Linked DNA regions of Drosophila melanogaster. The protein of the gene in region 1 interacts with the protein of each later gene in a pairwise test. Each region holds a gene or a part of one and is shown in the gene's direction. Other genes may lie near its edges. The genes, in order: CG17841 and Sam-S.

The links.
Region 2: the proteins of CG17841 (region 1) and Sam-S interact in a two-hybrid assay, tested with the Drosophila melanogaster proteins (one large-scale study listed by BioGRID).

The regions. Positions count from the first base shown.
Region 1 is NC_004354.4:10,366,159-10,371,231, forward strand, and holds the start of CG17841 (uncharacterized protein), read left to right. Parts: upstream 1-1,893; 5' UTR 1,894-2,197; coding exon 2,198-2,601; intron 2,602-5,073. Other genes in the region: l(1)G0289 (lethal (1) G0289), read right to left, coding at 1-53; CG32679 (uncharacterized protein), read right to left, coding at 352-604, 660-1,039, 1,172-1,303.
Region 2 is NT_033779.5:105,202-110,120, forward strand, and holds the start of Sam-S (S-adenosylmethionine synthetase), read left to right. Parts: upstream 1-1,701; 5' UTR 1,702-1,799; intron 1,800-2,559; exon of another isoform or gene 2,560-2,563; 5' UTR 2,564-2,637; exon of another isoform or gene 2,638-3,145; intron 3,146-3,386; 5' UTR 3,387-3,484; coding exon 3,485-3,608; intron 3,609-4,392; exon of another isoform or gene 4,393-4,549; coding exon of another isoform or gene 4,550-4,592; intron 4,593-4,919. Other genes in the region: Nhe1 (Na[+]/H[+] hydrogen exchanger 1), read right to left, coding at 1-135, 190-254, 311-714, 768-1,441. UniProt on the Drosophila melanogaster protein: Catalyzes the formation of S-adenosylmethionine from methionine and ATP. The reaction comprises two steps that are both catalyzed by the same enzyme: formation of S-adenosylmethionine (AdoMet) and triphosphate, and subsequent hydrolysis of the triphosphate.

The DNA.
Region 1 (5,073 bases):
ATGGCCAAAAGGATCGCAATTTGCGCGCACGCACTACCGACACTCTTCGCCATTGTTCAACCGTTATTTCAGCCGTTGCGAGTGAAAAGTAAAGTACGAATGCTGAGCAACTAGAGATGGTACGCCATGCTAGGCTTAATCGATAGGTACGATGCGGCCAGATAAACTGAAATAATCGATAAAATATCGCTTATCGTTTAGAATTCGATCTATTCGATAGGGTGTCCAATTTTAAAAAATGTTCGATAAATACGTGTAAAATATATTCAGAAATGCAGTCGAGTACAAATAAAAATAAACAATTCAGCACATTTACGCTTGAAAATGTTATGCTAAATAGCATACATTCCCTTATCCCGACCATTGATTATAGTTGTACACCTCGTTGGGCGAGCAGAGATTCGGATAGTTGGAGTTTCGTCCTGTAGTGCATTCCGAGGCAGCGGTTCCCGCCCTGTAAACCGGGTTATTCACCACATTGGTGACCGCGTAGTTGCAAGCCAGCAGGGTGGCCTGCACATTGTTGGCGTCCGTAAATCGAGCAATCGCACAACCCACTCGGTTATTTCGCTCGTTGACCATGGTGGTGAAGTGGCCAATTGCTCTGGAAAGGAGTTAATGGGATTACCAAACTCGCTACGGCTTGGTGGTGTACTTACGGTCCACCGCGCATCTGATAGTCCTCCATGTCGCCACTGGTCGCATCCCGATTCTCATCGAACCAGGCGGCGATCCGTTGGCGCAGGAAGACCGCCACATCCACACTTCGGGTGAAGAGAATGCTCAGATTCTGGCCGGCATAGCGATACGTGTTCGTGTTGCGGCATTCGTCGTGCGCCATGCGGCACTGCAGCGCATTGTAGGCGGCCAGTTGGGCCAGTGTCGTGTCCCAGGACATTGTGGCCATTTGGACGGCACTGGGGAAGCCACTAACTCCACCGCCAGCGATCAGGTTGCGGCGTTCGTTGTGCAGCTGGAGAATCAGCGGGATGTGGGCATCCACTTGGACAAACTCGCCGCTGCAACCGCTCACAAAGCGCTAGAAAAAGTCGACGAACAGGATTAGACAGGATAGAACGTGAGAGCGTTGGAAACAGGTACAGTTGAACCTTCGTAACTATGGAAGTTCAACTTCATTTGTGCAGATTTATCATCGTGTGCATCAACTTACACCGCTGTTTTGGCAGGCCACGTGTCTTCCACTGGGACACAGTTCTGGATCGCAATAGTTTTGTGCGAAAGTAAAAGTGAAAATGATAAGGACCAAATATAAAAGGAAAATCCAGCAGGGAGATCGTGACATTTTGGTTTCATATACGCAAAATTACTAAATTTGCTACACATTTCGCAAACAGACATAACGTTCAATGAATGGAGCGACGCACGTATTTATTTAGGCCGCAGTCTGTCTTTTGATTTTGCGACGAAGTAAACAAGTGCTTTATTAAAAAAAAAACATATTTAATACATATATGCTGATTGAATGAATGCACGCTCGAGTACAGTGCGGACCATAAGTAAATATTAGTTACTTGTTTTGTTTTATCCCGTAAGTCCCTTCGAATGCTGCTGTGTATTTTTAAATGTTGCAAAATAATTAAAGACAATTTCGAAGACTTTTTCAAAATGTCAAGATATAATCCCCGTGATGGGCTAAAGCCGTGACACAAACCAACGGCTAGTGGTATTCTTATCGTTATCGCTGCAGTTATGTCTTGCAAATATTAAGCTATATATAAGTGCCGTTACTATGCCCAAAATTAGTCCGAGCTCAATTTGATAATTGATATTACAAATTTGAATTAGTTTGCATTTCATCAGGGGTGCTCTCCCAAAATCAAGTTTGGTATTTAAAGTGCGCTTGGTGTGTGGCCACACCGGCCGATAGGCACGCACAATCGAAGAACGATTGCCACCGATTGGTTGCGACGACGAATCCGCACGAATCCATGAGCCCTCGCACCGCCGAGTCTTCCAGCTCCTCCCGATCGCCCAGTCGTCCAATCGCCATGTCCCAGACGCAGTGCCGCCTGTAAACAACCGCCGAGTGAAGTCCGCAGCCCGCAGTCATCGGTAGCAGCAGCGTCAGGAGTCCGGAATCCGTTTCTCGGTTTCCGCAACAGGTTGCGTCGCCTTCGCCAACAGAAGGTTTTAGTGCGAGCTTTGATCAGAGCGTGGAGTGCGTATACGCGCCAGGATGCAGCAGCGCCGACAGCCGGCGAATGGCAACGGCAGAGGAGGAGGAACCACCGCCGCCGTCCGTACGGAGGAGCAGCAACAACAGCAGCAGCCATTGAGTCAGGATGCTGGCGCCAAGGAGGCGGGCAGCACGCCGGGCAAGGCAACGGGACGCGGCTGCTATTTCTCGCTGGCCTTCTCCATCGGTTCGATGGGCCTGGCCTGCGGCAGCCTGTGGCAGATACCGAACAGCAGTGACCGCATCTCGCTGCAGCGCGGCCTGGTGCTCACCTCGCTGGGATTCATCTATTTTGTCTCGCTAACGGACTTCTGCAACAAATACCTGCTGGAGACGACGCATGGACAGCGCTTTCGTCGCAAGTACCGCCTGATGATGTCCGACGTCCTGGAGATAACCAACAAGTGAGTAGGAGTGGACGCCCACGCAATGCACGGATGCGGCTGTCTTGCACGCACATTAGTATCGATTTTCCCGCACTGCCACCCACACACGCACTTACTGCACTTGCGTTATGCAGCCGAACGGGGTATTGGCGGGTGGTGGGGGCTTTCCATCCAAATAACTCTGTGGCAGCCAATAGTTGCCCTTTTCTCGACCACATGATCTACGCAATCTATTTATGCGTTTCTAATACTTATATAAGTTCATAATTATAGACACTTCTGTGTTGGCTAAATCATTACCATGAGTGCAACTGGAGCGATTTAGTTAAATTCTCATGTTACTCATATTTCCACACAGACTTAGTTAGACTTTTGGGTTGAAATTCAGATAGCTAAAGATACAGCTAGATGCTGTCATCGATTACGTAGGTAATTGTTGGCCCAAGTAACAGGTAGTCTCACCATCAATCATATTCCCGCCTTACGTCTTTGGGCGAGCATGACGATGACTCACCCAGTGACATTACGCTGCGGAGCTTAATTAGGTTAGACTATGAAGTGGAAACCTACCCAAGTGGCTACCCTCCCTACCTTCAGTCTTATCTTGGGCAATTTATTAGCGGGCGCGAGTTAATAGTGAGTGCCTAGCCCAGTTTTAAGTACGCATTTTGGAGGGCACTTGCTCATCGACGTGTAGACAGATGGAATCGAGCGCGCTCGGCTGGACGCTGGCTGGTGTCCCCGACATTCGGCAATGGCGTTCCTTAGCCGACACTGATTTATATCATCATCTCGAGCACAGCGACATGCGGGTCAAGGTCTCGTGGCGGGCGTGGGATGTGGGCGGTGGGCGGTTGGATAGAACGGGTTTTGGCTCAAGGCGAGTCGGGTTTCGAAACGGAATAATTGCGTGGAGAACAAGCATCCATCGACTTGACGACGCATTTAACTAGCCAGTGAAACATGCTCCAATTTCGCAAAGCACAAATATATCCTGAAATTCAATTGTCCATTTGGCAAAAGGCATTTGTGATCTATTCTCCCTTGCTTGAGCGAGTGAAATTATTTCACAGCTTTTCAATTCATCTGATGCAAGCGTACAAAACGGCCATTTATTAGTAATTGCCCAACTATGGAGTGCCCCTTGCCTAACTATTACCCCCGCAGTCCAAAGTGTTAATTAAACTGTGTGTAGAATTGTTTAACGCGCTTAAATTGAGTTTCGCTCTCTTCTCATTTCGTATCTACTCCCCTCCTGCCCTCATCACCGCCAACTGCGATTACAAACATGCACATTTGTCATGATGAAACAGAGAGTGCCGGTCTATATGGGTAACGCCATGTGTGCCCAATTGCTGTACAGGTGTTATACAACCCGATCTCTGGACGGGAATTGGCTCAATCTGCTTTATCAGTAGACTTGGATAAGCGCTCATCACATGCTTTCTTCCACAATGAGGTGTATACTAGATCTTGGGTTCTCTTCTTTACCATTTGTAAAGACTTTTCCCTTTCTCAATTTAAGTTGAGCTACAGAATTTACTGCCTTAGTTATGCTATTCAAATTGTATGCATGGAATCTATTAGTATCCGCATGACCCGGGTTACGCATCTAATCATCAAAGACCCTGCCAGACGACCCAATTTCCTGGTGGCTAATTGATTCACCACGATCGTTGTAAGTCCAACAGACGCACTTCACCTCCACGCTGGGCGATAAGGCAATCAGCCGGGGCTCTAGTGATTGGCCCCGCCTATCTGCCCGTCCTCTATCTATCTATCTATCCGGGTCTGTCTGCTCTGGCTTCTGCTATCGGGGAAACGAATCGATTTGGGTGAGTGAGTGCATCTAGCATTGATAAGCGGCTTGTCGTTAGATGCTTAGAAGGAGGCTTTCGAAAAGCTCGAGAATATTGCGAGGAAAAACTGGGTATGACAACAAACAACAACAAGCAACCAAACAACGTAGAACTATTTAAAAAAAATTTTCCATCGCCACTACTCGCCATTTCCCCGAGCCCTTGACTTTCGTCATAAATCTTAATTGGACATAGTTGAGGCTATTTGTTTATTTACATTACCGCTGGCTCGCTTGGATTGTGGACATTCGTGGCGCTTTGATGGCGACTCAGTAACCGATATCTAAATCACATTCGATACGATTCGATTGCCCTATCGTGGCCCAACCCAGATATTATACAGCACCTGTACGCGAATACATATAGATTCGCATGTGTAACATACATATGTGTATATATATAGTGGGTATAATATAGCCGACGACTATATAGTAAAATGCGCAGCCGGTAGCGGGGCGCAGTGACACCTTTTGGGACCATTCATTAGGTAGAACCGGCTGCGCTTCTAATTGGAACTAATGCCCACATTCGATGTGGGGGACTTTGCAACGGTTCTGTTGGCCTGAGGCCGAGTCCGATTCTGATTCCGATTCTGATTCCGATACCGATTCAGTGCCAGAATGCTACTAGT
Region 2 (4,919 bases), on another chromosome or scaffold:
AATGGCCCATATAACAAAAGATAGTTCAACTTGGTGTTTAAAAGAAAAGATTGCTAATCCCAGATAAGCAAACACGCAGGTCTCAGCAATGAAAGCTAGTGTCCTCATCGTCTGCTGCATGGTAATTTGGGTAACCTACGATTAAAAAAGTTTTAATAATATATAAAATAGGGATATCATATGACTTACAGTGGATAGGTTGAAATGCGTGTAGTGGGACATGACGATTCCGCAAAATAGTATAGCCATAATACCTATAGTTGAAAAAAATGTTTAGCTTTTAGAGTCATAGTCAACAACATTGATATACCGCTTAAGTGTATTCCCTCTGCCAAGACGTAAGGTGCGTAAGTAAACATTAGCATCATCGCGAACTCGAGGGATGGATGCTTTCGTAAATCGATGTGCTTCAGAAGAAGAGCCGAAATTAGTGCAAATATGACTCCAATGCCCGCCGAAGCAAAGAACATCGCGCAAAAGGTCTTCAACGCGCTGAACATGGCTTCTCCAGTGCTGGCCTCAGCATTGACGTTAGCGGATTGGGTTATGGATGCAGTCAGCACAATAGATATGGCGTCGTTGAGGATGCTTTCGCCGAATACCAACATGTTGAGTATGGGGTCTACGTCAAGAGCATGGAAAATTGCCACTGTTGCCACAGGATCAACAGCAGAGATGAGAGAACCGAAGGCAAAGGATTCCGAAAAGCTTAGGCTAAAATTTAGGATAAATTATTGAATGAAATTGACAATTTATTTTAAACTTGCCGAAATGCCACCTCCCCCAGGCCCAGCAGGTAAATCCCCGCCCCGATGACTAGTGCAGAAATTGTTGTACCGAATATGGCAAAGACCAGTATGGATCCGATGTTCTGAAAGAAGTTTCCCTTGTGCAGATTGTAACCGGACTCGAATATAATGGGCGGCAGGAGCACCAGAAAGAAGCCCATGGGCGAGAAGACCTCTTCACGTTTCCAACTGCCATTCTGCCCAGACATAACGTTCAGCGAAAGGCCAATAAAGGCGCCCAGAAAGACTACCACAATGCTTTCTGGCAGGTACTGGAACCCGGTCTGGAGCATAGAGTGGATAAGCAGGATGCCCAACATGATAACGCAGATGACGAAAAACAGTGAGAGTGAGGAGTTGTGCTCCTGCTCGACAGCATGGGAATCGATTAGAGGCGGATCTGTGACCAATGTGGATGCGTTTCCCCTTTTCGTGGTGCTTGCATTACCAGATGCAGAAATCGAGGGCGTGACATTTCCAAGCGGACTGTTGACGAAGACATCCGAAACGGTGTGGATAGAGCTACTATTATCTGTAGTGGTGGTGTTGCTTGATGTTTTGCTTTGGGGCACCTCCTGTCCACTGATGCTTTCCGGACCCGCGTGCACCAACAGTAAGAGTGCAGCTGCACTATAAGCTACCCAAACCCTCATTTTTGCCGACAAAACGTGACGTGGTCGCTATTAACGCTCGCATTTAACTTTTCACTATTTGTTCAATTTGTTTTTTCACAAACATCTGTTTATCGCCCTATCTGACGTATATCGGGGAGAGTTGCCGTATCATTTTGGCTTATTGGCGCGTGCCTTTCATATATTCAAAAGAAAATTGTGCACTTAATTGCGTGCAGTATATTTTACCATATAATGAATTTATTTAAATAATTGGCTTTTGCCCAGTCATTGTAGCTGATAGCTCTTGTGAAGTGTCTTGAAAATTGAGCATTTTAAGTTTAAATATTTTTGTCTACGTATTGAGAACGTTTCTTACGGCAAAAAGAAAATTATATATGTATTAGAAAAGTGAAATAATAAAAAACCTTGTTATTGGCAAAGTGATAAATTGTTTAGTTAAGGCTATTACAATAACTGACGATAAATCAGTAAAATAAATGCATTGCCACAATCTACAGTTCGCAAGCACCCACCATTTGTGCTCAAGAATAATGTGCCCTGCGCATCTGTTCGTTCAGGCACACGCGATCTTCTTAGGCCCCGTGGGGTCACACCTTATTTGAAAGATAATGGGGCTTGTTGTTTTCGGTTATATTCAGTGGGTATTAGAATTTTAAAAAATGTACATGCAAAAACTGATTACCAGGCTCCTTGATCTTGGCAGACCTTGTTTGTCTTCTTGGCTGTGGCATGACGTAAGCACTTTTTCAAAAGCACAAATTGTTCGAATAGTATGAGAACCCTAATTGACGACTTTCCTTGACAAGATAGTGTCGAACGATCCATCTCCAAAAGGGCAGTCACTCCATGTTAGGGAAAAGCTAGGGTTTCAACAGATACAGACATTCGTTTAAAAATTCGCTTCGAATTGCGCTTCGTGTAGCGATTGTCTATATCATCGAATATGTATATGTCAATTGCTGTACATAAGAGAAGCCGAGAGAGCAATGCTAAACAGATTTTAAAAATTAGGTATATAGGTGGCTGCCGTGGTAGCACATAGTTTTGTTCTGATAAGCTCTTATTTCTTGCCGACTCATCTTCTCAAATGCTGTCTACAAAAATTTATAAATATTATTCGTCTGTAAAAATCATCCGCAGTTGAACGCAGGTTGAGCAGGAAGCTAGTCGAGACTATAATCCATATCTTGTCTGATCCTTTGTTCAAAACCACAGTGAGTATAAAATAAAGGATCTGGATCTAGATTCACTACAGTTCACTCCGGAGCGGGGTGGCAACGCTGGGCGGCGGAACAGCTGCTTAAAACCCAAAAACGTGGAGATACTGAAGAAGTAAAATCATTTGAGAGTACCGAGAACGCTAGGAAAGTTTCCCTAAAGAGCGCCCAAATAAGTCTCAAAATAATAATCGAGTCAGCCGAAGAGAACCGCCTCCTCCGTTTGCGACGATAAGCAAAAGCCCGCTCTCTCGTTGGAGGTATAAATTCTGAATGGCATTAAAAAGTTGCGCTCTTTTTCTTCAGAACCGTCGCTAAGATAGGACGTGTGTTGGCTGCGCCGCTGATTTGGTTGCCGTCGCTGAACCAGTATAACTCAGAATCAGTGTGTATAATTTGTTGAACTAATAGCTAGAACGTCGAACACGCATTTTAAACAGCTAGCAGCACCGAGCCCTCACCTAGCGACTAGTTTAGCTTTGAACCCGCTCAACGTGCGTCTCATGTATGTAGCGACGATTGTGGCAAACGCGCAGCATAAAAACATAAAAGAAGGGCGATTATATAAAAAAAACTATAACGAAAAGTGTGCGAATACCGGAAAATCCCAACAGCCTCGAGGCGGCCTATAGCTTAGATTCGCGAATGCGAAAATAGATGTGTTTTGCAAGAGTTCGGAAAATCAATTTCGTTAAGCGTTTTTTAACAACCGCTAATGTGGCCTCTCTTTCTCTCTGTTCCCCCAGCTCCACCAACAATTTAGCCGACCGGAACTCGGGTTATAGCACTGCTCCCCCATTGCCCCTTCAAACTTCGAGTTACATATTACAAACTACCCATCAACATGCCGCAAAAGACAAACGGACATAGCGCCAACGGATGCAACGGCAGCAATGGCAACTCATATGACATGGAAGACGGAGCTACATTCCTGTTCACTTCCGAGTCCGTTGGCGAGGGTCATCCAGGTGAGTGCTTCATTGCATCTGCGGCGCCTCCTATTGCATCATACCGATAGTGTCAGTGTAAAAAAAGAAACAATCTCAAATGCCCCTTCGGGCGTGGTGAGAGATGTTGCCTGTCAGTTCTCATAACCTGACCAAACTGATTCTCTAGCGTCTGAGGCCCTTCTGTCTGAAGTCCCTTTCCCTGTATACCCAGTTCCACACCTCCACCGTCTACTCACTTCTGCTTACCGCCTGAACTCTAACAAAATGGCGACGAAATTATGTCCATACCTTTGTTGATTTCTACCCAATTTGCACGACTTGAACAGAGGCTGAGAACGGGAAGAAGAGCTAGTAAAACGTGCCTCTGTTGCATCGCCCGGTGACCAAGCCGGAAAGCTGGGACCACGGAGAACAGCTGGCTTCTCTTGAAATCCCCGCACAACAGCGGGCTAAACCTTGTGCTTGGATGGGCAGACGCAATTAATAGACTGGTTCTTTATCGTTTGCGGCTCTCACATATGTATGTATGTGTGTACAGAGAGACTACGTCATGCGCACCATGTGCTTGTGGCTCATGGGAGATGCGAAATTCAAGTATTCTCTACGTTGTTCTACGTTGTCCACGCACTTGTTCATTTGATCGCAGATGGCGATCAAAACAACGGCCAACACAAACATACCTTACATTTTTCTAGACCGCTGTCAAAGCTTATTTTTTTCACCGAAATTGCCAACCACGTGTTTTGCTCGAGCTCGATCTTTTCGCCCCTCCCAGAGTTTGTTTATATCAGCAGTGGCGACCAGTATAGTAGTGTGTTTGACAACAGCTGTTGATAAGCCGAGCGACCTTTTATACTACGCATTGATTACTTTTACTATTCTATACTATTTTATTTTATAATGCTAATTAAGTCGGCTTGGCAAGCTAGCCCTAGACAATCTAGCCCTATACAATCGTGATGATAAGCGCCGAGTGCCATTCAGAAGAATACACCCCAAATGGTTGACATTAATATCGCCTGTCTTTTTGTAATAAATGAGTGACGGACTTGTTAGAATAGATAATTAGACTAGCCGGAAATTGGAAACCCTGAAACCCATTTCAGAGTAGCTACTTTAAACCCTTGACCTAACTAGTTTCCTCGCAATCATTATCCCAGCCGAAATCGATACCATGCGCCATTTCTATGAGTCAACAGTTTTGGTAATTTATGTTGCTATTGCTGACGCATGTTCGAGTTCAATAACGCCTTTACTACGAAAAGTAGCCGAATGTTGACGGACTCCAATTACGCGCCAAGTTTTGAGGCAAGCGCGAGCAACCCGACT